Linked DNA regions of Drosophila melanogaster. The protein of the gene in region 2 interacts with the protein of the main gene of each other region in a biochemical or structural test. Each region holds a gene or a part of one and is shown on either strand. Other genes may lie near its edges.

Region 1 (7,586 bases), on a different chromosome or scaffold from region 2:
GTGTGCCTCAAGTCGCCGTGCAGCTCGTCCGCGAACTCCGATCCGTAGATGGAGGCGCCTCCGCGGCCAGTGCCCGTGGGATCGCCGCCCTGGATCATGAAGTCCCTGATGATCCGGTGGAACACCACGTTGTTGTAGTAGCCCCTTCTCGAGAGTTCGGCAAAGTTGCGGCAGGTGTTGGGCGCGTGTTTCCAGTACAGCTCCACGGTGATTTCTCCCATGCTGCGCGGGGCACAAATGCCACAAATAATGTGATAAACAAATGCTCAGTCTTCAGTTTCGGCGATTATCGAGCATTCAAGCTCCGGACTCACCTCGTTTCCAGGGTCACGAAGTGCGGCTGCCACGCCTTGTCGGGAATGCCACCAGCATTGTTGGGATCGCTTAGGGACAGCATAACTATATTTGTTGTTAAATTAGCGAGACTTCAGTAAAATTGTTAAAACCGGCAGAGTCAGAGTGACCAGCTTAAGCGTAGTCACTTAGGCCGCCTGGCAACCCTGAACTGCTGCGGTATACTTCTGGTATATATATAGTATAGTATATAGACGCACCTTGGTATTTTTTAGGGTTTTTGTGAGCACACGCAAGGGTATTTTTCAATTAGTTCCATTTCAAAATTCGACGAAAAAATCGTGGAAAATATTTAGCGGACGGAATTTTTCGTCGGGCTCGCGAGAAAAGAGACAGATAATAAGAGTGAGTGCGTGAGCGTGAGTGAGACAACGCGAAAAGTTAGAGAGGATCGGAATCATGGCGAGTGTTTTTTTATAATCAAATTTCCACAGCACTTTCCACGTATAGTTGTTAATGAAGCAAAAAGTAAGCGAAATATGAAAAGAAAAGCCTTTTCCCTTAGCTGCAAGTGTGTGTGTGTGTGTGGTAGCGTGTTTTTTTTTGTTGCTGTGTTGTGTTTGCTGAGCGCAAAGAAGAGGAAGCAGAGCTAAGAGAGAAGAGAAACTCTCGAAAATGAATTGAAAACGATGAACTCAAAGTAGCCCACTAGTATGGTGCTCGTGTGCGTGTGTGTGCTGTTGTGTGTGGGAGAGAGAGGGAGCGAACACAAAGAGCGTATCAACATTCAATTGCATTTTTAACTTGTTTTCGCTCTGGAATTTTTGATTTTCTCGCGTTTTTCGATTGCTTTTTGTTAGCAACAATTAATTTACAGGGTTCGTATTTTTCTCTTTCTCTCCTGGGGGGCGGTTTCCACAAGGGAAAACTCGATGTTTCCATTGTTTTTCTCGAATGCGGGTGCTGTTATCGTCCTCTCTCTCGCTCGTTAATTAAGGATTTTTGTGTTTGAATTCCCTAGCTTAGGCGACTGAATTCACAATGGCAAACAATAAACCCGCGATCGGTTTGGTTTTATTTAATCAGCAGTTGCGGTCAAACCCATAGAATATACATGCTTCTTGGCCTCTTTTCTATTTTAATTGATATTATAGCCTCTAAGAGAGAAAAAGTCTAAGAATATTTGCTAAAATTTGTTTATAAAAGTCTTCAAACTTATAATAATATCGTACACTTAACATGTAGTCCGTAAAGTGGGTAAGTCTGGAATGCCCTGGAACTAAATAAGTCTCAGTAGGTTGAATAATTTGTCCACTTTTGGGACTTTTATCCCCTTCCCTCGGGCAATTTTTATTGTTTGGGATTTATTGCCAACTCTTTTGGCATTTATCAAAACAAAAGAGGAACAATAGCTGGCAGGCGGAAATGGAAATAACTGCCTTATCCCTTCTCTCCTAATCTTTCTCTTCTCTCCTCTCTCTCTCTCTCTCTCTTCTGTCACTCGTTTATCCTCCTGTGACGCTGCGTCATCATAATCAGCGTTTGTCGATTCATCAAAGAAACCGCCGCCGGTTGCTCTCTCCACTCTCTCTCTCTCTTTTCCTCCATTCAAGGATACCGAAAGAGAGAGATCGAGAGAGTGCCCCCTCTCCTTCACACTTCCCTCATGGGTTTCCTATGTAAATCATTTAAAGGGAAATTGTTGCACAACTTTAACGAGTTGATTGGAGGGGGAGGGGTGAGGCTTACTGCTTGTGGGTTTTCCCGGCGCAACCCTCATTCCCCCAACCCACTCGCCCACTTTGGCAGCTGTCAATTAGAGCTTACAGGGAGAAAAAATGAAAACCCGAAGCTTCCATATGTTAGCTGTCCCTCCCACAGGTCTCCGCCCCCAACAGCTGTTGGAAAATGAGATTAGGAGGTGGGGGGTAAGTGGGGACCCAGCTTTATTGGCCTGTAATTGATGCCCAGGCTGCCAACCATATTGCTGATTGAATTGTGGCGTTGTCGCTGCAGAAAAGAAGAAGGGTGTGGATGCACAGTCCAGAGGACTGACTGCTGACGTCGCCACCGAAAGCAGAACCCGTTCAAGCTGCAGTTAAGCAAGTCTTCTGCGGGGAACCCCCGGGGACACAGACTTGTCGAACTCGCATCCTGCTGCGCTACATAAACCCCGAAAGTCCATGCCAGATTTAATGACAAAGGCCACCGCCCATTACAATGTTGCTTAACTACCATAATTATAAACAAAAATATAATATTATGTTTAAGGCTTACCTTCTCTTTACTTTTGTGCTTGGGGGAAATTGCAATTCTTTGAAGCGCTGGCTTATTTACATAAGAGTAATAGGGAATTCACCAGTTTAGTTACCTTTTGTTTGGTTGCGCTTTTCAAGTCTAGGTTTTCCTAAGAATTGTTCTCCATTCCTTATTTTCAGCATGCTGGAAACCATATGCTCTCTTTTGATCCTTTGGTGGAAAAGTACCCCCCGTACCTTTTCTTTGGCTCGGCTAAAAATGTGTTCAATCCACGCAGCCATTTCCATCTCGTTCTATATGTGTGTAATTAAGTCTGTCCACGACGCAAGTTTTCCTCAGCGCCTCTTTTTACCCGGCGGCTGCCCAACTAAACCACTTTGGCCCATTCGCACATCGCAACCCCCTCTCCTCGACCCACCTCAACAAAAAACAAAAAAAAAAAAAAACTATTTCACAAGGTGCCCCTTTGCCGGTTCTTGGCCTCCCTTTTGGCTTTCTCCGCCCCTTCCTTCTGCTTTCTGCTGCCGACGCAAATCCTTACGTGTCAAATGGAGCCCCTCACACTTTTGGATGGCGCCCGAACAGGGACATCCACGTAAGCAATCAAGCACTTAATCGGCTATCCGACGAAGGATTACCCCTTACTGGAATTATTCATACCGGATCATAAATTTGTACAGATAAGACCAGTTTAGAGACAGTACTATATAGTATAGTATAGTAAGTGAAAATCCCTAAACATTTACGTTAAGGTCGAAGCAGAGGATACCCAGGATATTATAGGGTAGCAAGGGAAGGAAAAACCAAAACAACAACCACAGAGAAAGTAAGCAAAAATAATTTCGCGATTCGTCCCCCGGGCAGAGCCCTAAAAGTCGCAATTTGAGGGGTGGAGCCCTTCTCTGGAGCGGCAGGAAGTGGGTAGTGGAAGAGCGGAGACCGGGCTTGCGCAGGCGCCTGGAAGAATCCGAAGCCGAGAAGAGCGGCGAGTGTCCGCTCTCTTTTTTCGGCTCTGTGGCAACAAAGTTTCGGTGCCTCAATTCTTCGATTCAGAGTCTCCACAAACGGCTTCGCGAGCGGACGTTGCAGCCACAGAAGATACAGCCACGGCCGTCGAGGAAGTGGCAGCTACAGAAAGCCAAGATATATATCTGCATATACATATGACTGGCGAAGCTGCTGCGAAAAAGGTGCAAAACAAATTAAGATGCATAAATAAACACCGGACTCGCTGGCAGGTGTTTGTGAACTCTGCTTGTGTGTGTGTGAGTGTGTGTGCGAGTGCGGTGCTGTGCGGTGAAATATTACGAAAGAAAACCTTTTATGTTTTGCAATTTTCCCGCAAACAAATCAACGAGCATAAATATTAATTTTGGCTACACCCAAAATGAGATGATGGACAATAACAGCGGCAAGAAGAAGCGCTTTCAGAAACTTGTTTTAGCCCGGTTTCGGATTTCTCCGTCTTCCTCTTCTCTTCTCGGCGACGTAGTTAACTAAGAGCCGTCGTATTAGACGTTAGTTAGAGAGTGCGTGTAAATTGTCGAAGGGATATTGTGTTTCCCAAAGCCCCATCTGAAATATGTATTCTCACTGTTCATCTCTGTAATGAAAGCTGTGAATTTATCAAGTTACTAATCGGTATTGTGCGGATAATGGCCATCAAAACCTTTTGAGCTACGTTTTTCGATTTTACATTAGGCAAGGGTATCCGTAGGATCCATTTACTCGCCAGCTGCAGAACGAAAATCCATTCAGCAAAACTGTCTCTCCCTTTTCCACTCGCTGAGCAATCCATTTAATAACTTTGGAACCGGCTTGTGTTTGCTTTAATTTGTTGTTGTTTTTTGTGGATTTGTTTTTTGGGTTTGGCAACGAAAGTTGCCAATTAGGTTTAATTTTAGGGGGCTTCGTAGAATTTTCAGCAAAGTGCGTAGAAAAGGGTTTCGTGGTGTGTATCCGTGTGGGCCAAAAGTGCGCTAGTGTGCGTGTTGTTTGTGTGCGGGGCCAAGTGCGTATCTCCCAAATGTTTTTATTGTTGTTTGCTTTTTTCGTTCTTTTGTGGTTTTCATTTTTCGACACCCGAAATGTGTTTGTCTTGTTTTTATAGTTTGCTCTCTTTCACGCCGCTTTTTGCGTAGTTTAAAAGTGGAATCAAGTAAAAAACAAAACAATTACAGTAGAGCCTAGATGAGGAAGTTCTGCGTGCAAGAAACATAAAGTTACCAAGTTGCTGTACAAGCCTTTCCAAGGCATTACAAAATTACTTAAAGCAAAATAAAGTTATTTAGTTCACTAGTTAGTCTCCACTGTCAATATTTGGACAACACATTTGAATGGAAAGTTTCAAAAGCGAATTAAAATATAAACGTATGAATGCCGGGCAGGTGTGCGAGTGTGGTGATATGATATTTTTGGTACGTGATTTTATTCGACCATGCTAATGGCTATTGTGTTCTCCCTCTACTTGCAGATTCTCTTTTAATTTGGCATAAATTGTATTTGTCTTGAAAAAAGCATATTCTTGTAAATATATCCTCTTCGTAAAATATTTTACTTAAAAGCCTTAAAATATTGAATTCACGTGAAATTTCAAACGGTGTCACTCGAAATTCGCCAGTGACTCGCCGCCACGTTTTGTACAAACATAGTTTGTAAACATAAGTTTGTAAGCGGCCGGAAAAAGGCGAACGGAACCCAAAAACCCCAATGCAAGCCAACTGAGTGCAAGGGAGACAGCCGACCACGTCGAGCGGGATAGCATGCGCCAATGAAAACGTCCTACCCCCCAAAAGCGTCCGATTTCGTTGACTACGCCGTTGCCGGGGGCGGGGGATCCGGATTCTGTTCGGGATTAGGAGCGGGACTTTCAGTCAGGGCGACGTCCTTCTACGGCGATCAAACGGTAACGGCAACTACGGACGGGACGCGTCACCAGGAACAACAACAACAACAACTGCAGCAGCAGCAACAGCAGCATATCCTAAGGCAACCTGCAACATCCGCATCGACTTCATCGGTAGCTGCAGCAGCAACCAGCAAGCGAAAACGTCAAACAGGTGAGTTTTTTATTAGCCATCCAAATAGTTACTACAGACGTGCACTAGCTTTATTTGTGACTAGGCTTTCGAAATCCCCACCTATAGGTGTCAAAAGGTTTGAATTCGATGTCGATAACATGTGAATTCGATATATTATGTTATGCAGGCAGTTTTCAGTGTAAATCGGATTCGGATAAATATAAGTTATCGGATAAGTTTTTGCTTAGCTAAGCACCTTCAGCAACCACACGAATGAATCATGGGTAATATGTCCGGTTGATTGCCCCTTCCCGTGGTGATAGCACTCATCGATTATTGTGACAATCGCTTAATTTGCTTGAGTTATCGTTATCACACACGCGCCGTGGGCAAATGCGCCCTGTTGTTTAGTAATACTAGGCGCAATATTTATTATTATTGGTTGCCGTGCCATATTTCTGCCTCTTCTGGGCACTCTTATCGCCCGATTTCCCCCAGCGCCTCCCCTTTTTATTGTTGATTATCACAATAGACGCCATGGCAACTTTTTTCTTCTTTATTTTTGGTTTGGTTGGTGAGAGTGCAAGGAAGCGATAATTCGCATGGTGGTTTGTCGCCGTTTTGTATTTTTTGGGTTTGTGGACATTCTTAGACTTTGTTTTGTACTTCGGTTGGTATCTTTGGATTTTCCACGCTATCCGCGATTACGCTTGCATGCTCGAGCATGTCTGTCTTGGCGCTTGAAGAAGATTCCCTTCCATAATCCCTTTAAAATTTGCGATGATGTTTTCGCTGCTCGACTTGCCTGGCTTCATTCACATTATCTGCTCTGTGAATAGTATGAGTTATTGTTTGATATCTCACAAGGTCCCCCGCACCCCTGTTCCCCGAGCTCATTGAAAATTCCAGCGGACGCAATTACCACCCCAATTGTCTCCCAATCTAAGTTTTCGCTTTTGAGCGGCTCCGCCTCTTTGCTCGACTGTATTTTCAGTGTTTCCTTCGCTTTATTTATTTTTCGCTTATTGCGACTTATAAAAATATTTCAGTTGTTGTTTGCGCTCCCCATTCGCCAGTTTGCCAGTTCGCTTGTTGTCGTCATCAGAGTGGCTGGAATTTGTTGTATTATTTTCTTTTTCGGTAATTTTTCCACCATATTTTCTGCTGTTCTCTTCTGCGAAATGTTTATCTTGTTTTGTTTGGCTGGCCCCTAATCGAGATAATACTTTTATTTTTATTATTTTTTTTTTATACGAGAATACGATTCTTTTATTTCTGGGTTTGCTCCGAATATCTCGAAAATGTACGGGGTACGGGTATAGCCAAAAATATTAGTTTTTGCGATATGAACATGTTGATTTTGTGTGTGGCACTTGATTTTCTGGCTGTCATCGGTTAGATATTTGTTTATTTCCACACTCTTATCGTTTGTTATGAATTTCTGACAAAAAAAAGTTTTTGGGGATAATTGTTTCAGCTAATTCTGATACCTCAAAGCATATAAAGTTTATACGCCTTGCCTATCAAGTAGGTGAAAATGTCCGTAGATTTCAGTTCAGCTTTCTTCTCGTGTCTTTTCATTCTGCCCTAATTAACTTCTCGCTCAGCATTCTCGACTTCATCTGCGGTTTTTCACATACATACACATTTCTGGTTTTTTTCTCTGCCTGTCGATCAGCGGCATCAAAAAGTTTCCGCTTACTTTGTTGCCTTTTCATTACTGATAGCCAGCTGCACGTATACTTTCGCCCATAAATCTCCGCCGGTTGCTAATAATTTCAGCCGACTGTGAGCCCTAACCCCGCAGAAGATTTCGCCACGGATCACGTTGGTTTTGAGTGGGTGAAAGGAGCTCAGGCAGCTGTGCACCCAGCCCAGTCTTCCTCGGGTCCAGGTCTCCTATGTCCCCCGTTTCGCCTCTTCTCTATAACCCGCTTTTACCCCTTTCTACGTCTGCCTGTGTAGGCGTTCTTTTTCTTTGCAATTTCACCCGGCTCACACAGATACACACCA
Region 2 (7,791 bases):
TGTTCTCTATGCTGTCAATGTCCTAAAACGCATAGAATATGTGGGTTTAATAAACCGATTGCATAATTCGGCACACTTCGAGGACAACTCACATTCATTATCTTGGGGAACAACTCGCGATGGAATGAGTGTGGCCGTTGAGTCTGGCCCGGTCTTGGCTTGAAGAGGTACTGCATCCAATTACGCCGCTCGGCCAGTCCGCGCCACAAGGAATCTGTGCGCACCTTGCGTTCGATGAGCTTCTTCCAGAGCATGCCCTCGGAAATGACGCGCAGCCATTCCTTGCAGACCAGCTCGGATGATTTGAGCGATTCGGCATCCAAGTACGACAAAATGTTTTCTGCGATGTGATCCAGACCCTTGACTGCAAATAATTAATCATAAAATGTTATAATAATGCACAAGTAATTGTAATTATCAAGCAAGGCACAGATTCCATGTAATCTAATTATCTTGGAAAAGCCCATCTCTGTGGACAAAGTTTCTGACTAAGGCAGCTATTTATATTTGGCCCCCAGCTACACATAACCGATTTTCCATCAGATATGAGGTGGAGCTTTTGTGGCTGCTACCGCTCTTGGCAGACACCCACTCAACCCAATCAAATGCAATGCAATGCAAGCACATCAGCCAGCTTTAATTGAGCGCCAAACTAGAGGCAAAATGATGCACCTAACGGCATTAAAATGCACTTAGCCCAGTAGGCGGGAGTGGGTGTGGAAGGGAGTGTGTGGGAGTGGCTGTGGAGTAGGCGCAACCTATAGACTGGCATATTTACATGTGTCACGGTTAGGAGTGGTTGAGTTTCACTCGAAGGATGAGGCGGGGGTATGGCCATAACCACATCCACATCTTCATCTTTGTATTGACAAACCGGCTGATGGGCCAACAGAGAAGTCAGAGTCTGGAGTGCATGCGAGCACACTCGCATTCAGTGCCTTCCCTGCTTGCTGTTCGCAGCATTTGCCCAACACAATTAAAAATGTGCATAACTCGGAATGGCAGGCTGTTTGGCGGGCGGCAGCGATTTGGCTCAACTTGTTTGCCGTCGCCGGCGACTAACGGTCTTAAGAGTGTCTATCCGTCTGCGAGCAAGTCCGTCCGTCCGTCCGTCCGCTCTGTCCACCCGACTGTCCCCCCCACCACCTTTTAGCTGCCTTTGAAGTGCATTACAATGTAAATGGAGGGGACAATGTTACCTACTTGCAACTCTTTTTCATTCTAGAACACTCAGTGATGCCAACTAAGCGGAAGTTATACAAACGTATGTGCTAGCATTCGATTTTCTTTTGAGTAAATATTTAAAACTATGCTCCTAAGGGATAAATTAGTCAATTAATTGGTGAATAACTAATCAGATGCTTGGTAAGCAAAGTAAATTAATAGCTCAATTTAAACTTGACAGTTTATAACATTTTAATCAGGCTCTTCATTCTAATTTCTGATAAGCATATCATAATGGCTTGCTATGTTTATAGTGACTGCATGAACTTTGTACTTTTAAAGCAATATATGAATTAGTTATATCTGGAAAAAAAAAGCCAAGTGGTCATAGTGTACTGTCATTACATAACAAGAAAGCAAGAACAAGGAGTGCATCGCCGGGGATTAAGTCAACGGAAGCATGAGACGACTTCCTCAAAAGAACTTATTCCAGACTGGTGGCTCAAGGAAGGAAAGGCTTGCAAATTAAAGAGACTTTTTTCGCTATTTCAGAACAGGTATGCATGCATGCATGCATTTCAGCGAATATCTGAGCAAACGAACCGAAAGTAAATATACGTTTTCTGTATAAATGCCCTTGCAAAGGCTAGAATTGCACGCACAGCTCTTGTTGATTGTTTGAGTCATCGATACGCTCACGTATTGATGCATTGATAAGCGAACTGATCGCTTATTCACATACTCATACTCATAGTTAACCTGTTTGCCCATACCCAACCCAATCATATCCATTGCACCCGTAGCACACTCCATAGTTTTGTTATTAGTTAACATCTGTTGGACGACAACAATCGATGCCACGAATAAATCGATTCACATTTTCTTATGAATAATATACAAGGTTCGTTCCCGCTTTCGTTCTGTTTGTGTTCCGGTAAAGCGCGTTTAATGGAAGCAACGACCTTTTAGTCAACAGCCAACAACCAGCAACCTAAAGCCCACCCACTGGCTTCACCTCCTCCTACTCCTCTGGGCTCCTCTCCACTCCAACAGTTGGAAACATGCCCGGCAACAATCCGGAGGAGCAAGGGTGTCTGTCGGGGGACGCGGAACGAATCGCACCGGGTTCAGAGCGCGGCTTGCCTTTCATGTTGTTCAACTTTGTACCTGCAGTTTGTTATTGTTTCGCCAATTGCGTGTGTCGAGGGCTTAAACTCAGCTTTGTGCTGCTAGACTCGCCTGAGATTCTAATGGTGGATGAGCCATTTCTGAGCCTTCATTTTAGGAGGAAAACGGTCAAACTCCGATGGTGGAATTCGCACCCTAACAGCTGTTATTGCCTTCTTATCGGCTGCGTGAATTGGTTTCTCTATTGGTCAACTGGGATTACTGACCTTCCCATACAAAGCATGCTGTTGATAACAACTGGGTTATAAATCACGTTCTTGGAATGACTTAGCATGACTAATTTATCCGTTCAATATTTATAATATTTAGGAATAGATCTAACAGCTTCAAAAATGCAGATTAATATATGATATACCACTTCATCATTTCCTCACTTGTAGAATAACCACTATTGAATCCACAGCTAAAACTGCATTTTTAACGTTCATATTTTCATAGTCGTTGGCTAACATGTTACAGTTTACAGTCTTGGCCTAATACTTTGTTGTGAACGTAATATATCAATCTGTATGAACGGAAGTTATTTCTCCACTTCGACTGGACTCAGGTGGCAATAGCCAGTGTATCGGCAGGCACTCACTTGGCAGCAATGTGATAAAGTCCCGCTGGAGCATCGGCTTGAGATAGGCATTGATCTGTCCGTGTTGATAGTGGCACATGCGCGACAGCAGGTGCTCCACAAAGTCCACCTGGCCCGACTCGCTCCACTGGGTGAAGTACTGAAAGCAGAGTTCCCGCTCCGTTTGGTAGGTGGGCGATGAGTCTTTCTTGCGCACCGGGTCGTACAGCATAGTGGTTGTGAACTGTATGGGTGAAAAGTGGCATAAAGAAGCAAATTAATTATGAGATTGCATTTGTTTCGTTTTTGTTGTTGTTGTTGTTGTTGTGGGGCGACGATGATGTGTTATGGGGTGCTTCGATGTCAAGGGGCGATCGTTAAAACTGGAAAAGTAGGTAGCTGCTGGTTGTGCAACTTTTCTTTAGTTTAGGCTACCGACGACCCAAACTGGGGGCTTAAAATTAGGCAATTAGCTTCGACTACGCTGAGCGTTTCTTTCTATTCGTAATTTTTCTCATTTTTTTTTTATTCGGCGGCGAAAGAGTTTGCAAAGCGGATTTCTGAAGAATGAAAAACGCGACTGGCAGCGCAGCGGTAGAAACAGATCATTCACACGGCCAGTTTATAAATAATAATTGTATCGATGTTTATTTGGTCTTCCATGCTCATTATGCGCATTCTATATATAGACATACCCATTGATGGGCCCCAATTAAATCAAACGTCATCAATTAAACGCTAAAGATCTCGGCAAACAATTTTATCGGCGTGAAGTAAACAAATTGGTCGATTCGAGTGTGAGTGATTTGAGTAATTAAGTTAACTGCAATGCCAGCAATGCGAAAACCTTGCCAGTATTTGTAGTAAATGTTGTGAATATGTATGTACAAACATACTAAGTTGTATTCGGGTCGGTTGCCTTAATTTAATTGCCGTATTATGGTTTTTGTAAGCTTTAGTTGTTTGCCTTTGCCTGGTAACTTTGAGCTGAAGGATGCTACTTAAACTATGCACTGATTATGCTATGAGAAAGGTTTGTGGCAATAAGCAATATGAATGTATATATCCTCTAATTGATAGTTAATAATATCTCGTTTGTGTTTCGCTGCTATTACCAAGAAGCCATCTGTCTCATTAACCAGATTCCACCTTGAATCCGGCGAAATTAAAGCCCAGATGACTCAAGCGAAACCGAGCGAAAAAATTGAAAATAAAAAACGATTTTTTTGGCCCATTACTCGATGGTTTTACGCGAACTGACCTTCAGTAAGCCGCCTATCGTATATAGCTCCACAATTAAATAAGTACTGATTGAAATGTACACGGCCGTACTTTGTGCACAGCGTTTGTTATTAATTGTGTACACAAACTCGAGGCCAATTAACGAAATCTTAAGACTCGAAAACCGGAGATTGGGGATATATACATATATATGCAACGATAATTGAACAAAGGGGATGATGATGATGATGCTGGCGATGAATAAGTAGGCTAATGTCTAATATCCACAAGAGTTTAAGGTTATAGCCCATGGGATGGCTATGTGCCACAGTGTCCGAATTTAATAGAGTGCACGAGTGCAAAATCTGTAGTATATACGAAAATAAAGCACTAGCACACGCACACCAGTGTGTGACAACACGCATAGGTGGCGTAGGTGTGCGTGCCCCTGTGTGTGTGTATGTGTGTGGGTCTATTGAGGCGACACCTTGGGCAATATGTACTTAAATCGGTGTGTTTAATGCATTTAGAAGGGCAGAGATCCCGCTTAAAGCAGGTAACTTAGCGAAAACTCACGGCCTGTGCATTGGAGTTGGTTTCGTCCATTATTTTGTCAGTCTCCATTTTCATCATTGTGTTGTTTGTGTGTTTGTAGAGTTTACTGGCTCGTCGTTTGCTTCTCTCTCACTCGCTCACTGCCAGAGTTTTCCGTCGCACTCGCACTCACGCACCACGTAGCGTTTTTCGCTGATTTTTCGTTAACACGTCTCGCAAATCGCTTTTCGCCAGCGATTTCATATAATTTTTAGGTCGAAGGAAAATTACAATTTGCTCGTCTCGGTTTCTGTAGGACCGCAGGCGGGATGCGCGAAAACGGCGAGGCGAACGCGATGGCAAAGGCAAACTCAACTTGCCGAGGTCCCTCACCAATTGAGCGAATGTCGTATGCAAGTCATTATTCTCACCGCTCCTGGCGGCTTGCACGTTGTTTGTTTTTGCTTATTCAGATGACGCCAACTACTGGACACTCACTTTTCACACGGAGAATTTTATTTTTTTTTACCAGATCTCGCCCAAATACGGACTGCGAAACCACAAAGCCAAAGATGAGTGTGCACTATCGTTATCGATATCTGTCACATATATGAACGGTCACACTGCCACGGGCCAGTGCTGCAAAATACGGCAAGAGCACACAATTTCGTCGTTTCTGCTCTAAATTTTCGAACAGGTTGTTGCAATTACAACTATTTATGAAATGTTTTTAAGTTATTTCCCTTTCAGAGCTATGAATTGTAAGCATTGTATGGCTACCCAACACACTTTGCCAGCTCTGACAACTCTGCACATCCATATCAGCTGATTTCTCGATCGCTCTCTCCGTTTTCTGTTGTTATTTAATTGATAAACTTGTTGCGGGGGGCCACTCTCCAGATAACCCCCCACTTTTAAATTAATAAATATTGCGCAAGTAAGTGCCGTCCAGCTCGCCGAATGCTCACTTTCATTCGACCGCAGAGCTGTTCCCATTCTAATCATTTCCTTGAGCATTCATAATCGAGCTACAATACACATTTTTTTTCAAATTCACAGTGCAACTAACTCAAATCCTCAGGATGGCGTGCCAAAACCAAAATGCCGCCAACTTCTTGAGCAATGGCAAGAAAATTGTGGGGGTGGCTCTCAATTACATGTAACTCAGTGTCATAGTAATCTTGGGTCTGCATGGGTAATCCACGAATACTTTCTTCCGTCGCAGGGACGTTGTGCTGGCCAGGAACGTTCCCGTGCCCAAGGAGCCGCTCGTCTTCCTCAAGCCCACATCTTCGTACCTCCAGGAGGGTCAGCCCATTGTGGTGAGTTCTACAGAGAATTAATTAAGATAACATTAAGATAGTAGCAAGATAGCAAAAGTCCATAAACTGGAGAGTAAACGAATGGAAATTGAAAATCCCTCTTGTGATTTAAACTTTGTATTCCCCCAGTTACCAAAAGTCTTTACCAAGGTGGCATATGAAGTGGAACTAGGCGTGGTGATTGGAAAGCCCTGCAAGAACGTATCCAAGGCAGATGCCATGAGCTATGTGGCAGGATACTGCCTGGCTTTGGATCTAACTGCCCAGTGCAATTTGGTAAGAAGATGGATGCACTCAATCAAGAGCCATTGTTGTAATCAATAATCAATTTCAGGGACCAGCTCGGGCGGCCGGTCATCCGTGGACCTTGGGCAAGGGATTTGATACTTCTACGCCCGTGTCCCAGTTTATACCCATCGAAAAAGTGACGGACCCGCACAACTTGCCGCTTTGGCTCACCGTCAATGGAGACCTTAAGCAAAACGGGTGCACTGCAGACTTAATATTCAAGGTGCCCGACATCATTTCCTACGTGTCCAAGTACATGACCCTGGAGGCCAACGATCTGATCCTTACCGGAACGCCCAATGGTGCCGATGCGTTCAAGGCAGGCGATGTAATTCAGTGTGGAATGGCCGATCTCGCTAAATTGACCTTCCAAGTGGAGGCTGAATAAAAGTGAAGAATTTAATTTTGATGCTATATTCGGATATAATTGGATATGTGCAATGGCTATTTCTTCTTATTACTGGCCACATCATCACAGGCAACCAAATATTTCCACATCGCTGTGCAATCGCTGGTGTTTTTCCATTTGCTGGTCGGGCAGTTGATGTAGACCTTTTCCATGACGCAGGCCAGCAAGGTGGCAGGATAGAAGTCGCAGTCGCCCTTCTTGGGCATCCATTGGAACTCCTGCACCCGCTTCCTAGCTATTTAGAATTAACCATTATTAAGTAGAAAAAAACTTTCGTATGCTAACTCACCGTAGTCCGTGCAACTATTGAGGCTCTTCAACATCAGTTGCGACATATTCGGATCGTTTTTGTAGCGTTGCTGATAGCTCTTCTGCAATGCCTGGGTATTAACAGTGCCATTGCTCAACAAGAATCCATTGGTCCTGAAGGAGCACTCCGCAATACACTGAGGATTACACGTTTCCCAAGAGTAAAGCCAGTTTTAAAATGATATATTTTAGAGCGATACTTACTGCATGCAAAGCCACTTTATCCGACTTAAGATTGCGCACTTCCCCATTCGAATTGGTTGAATTATTGCCCAGCAAGGACTTGCGACACGAATTGATGGCCTTGTCGTTTTTTTGAACATCACAGCATGAGCTCAACTGCCAAATATTCAGTTGTAGTAATAAAAACACGATTTTATTTGAAGTTTTCATACAAACTTTGGCTGCTTTGCGTGATCGCAGCTTGTATAATTAAAGGATTTTGCACAATAGCTAAAAACTATTACAACGAAAAGCAGATTATACACATACATGTTGTGCTTAAAATTTATAATTAAACTGGTACGATGGGCAGCTGAACTTGAGTTTTAAAGCCACATTTTAATTAACCGTAATTTAAAAGTTAATGATGCATAAATAGCTCGCCTAATGCTGTGAAAAAATAATTGAAATGAGAAGGCACAGAACTAAAGTGCTGTTGAACGCATATTTTCTTGTTTTATTACATTTTAGTTTAGTCAGCAACTTGCTTCATTTTAATCAAAGCTAAAAGTTGTAACTAATGAAAACAGCTACGAAATAAAGTAGATGGTTTTCAGCGGAAAAATTAGGTAATG

Evidence for each region. Proteins that work in one complex are often made in the same cells at the same time.
Region 1: of the proteins of slmb (region 2) and Hipk, one has a biochemical effect on the other in vitro, tested with the Drosophila melanogaster proteins (one study listed by BioGRID).

What each region holds. Positions count from the first base shown.
Region 1 is NT_037436.4:542,456-550,041, forward strand, and holds the start of Hipk (homeodomain interacting protein kinase), read left to right. Parts: upstream 1-3,603; 5' UTR 3,604-3,743; intron 3,744-5,026; 5' UTR 5,027-5,323; coding exon 5,324-5,612; intron 5,613-7,586. Other genes in the region: Cypl (Cyclophilin-like), read right to left, coding at 1-222, 315-397.
Region 2 is NT_033777.3:21,122,230-21,130,020, forward strand, and holds the start of slmb (supernumerary limbs), read right to left. Parts: upstream 5,257-7,791; 5' UTR 4,766-5,256; coding exon 4,709-4,765; intron 3,156-4,708; coding exon 2,933-3,155; intron 365-2,932; coding exon 93-364; intron 23-92; coding exon 1-22. Other genes in the region: CG5793 (uncharacterized protein), read left to right, coding at 5,749-5,825, 5,892-5,988, 6,118-6,264, 6,323-6,664; Obp93a (Odorant-binding protein 93a), read right to left, coding at 6,721-6,920, 6,975-7,131, 7,199-7,333, 7,390-7,488.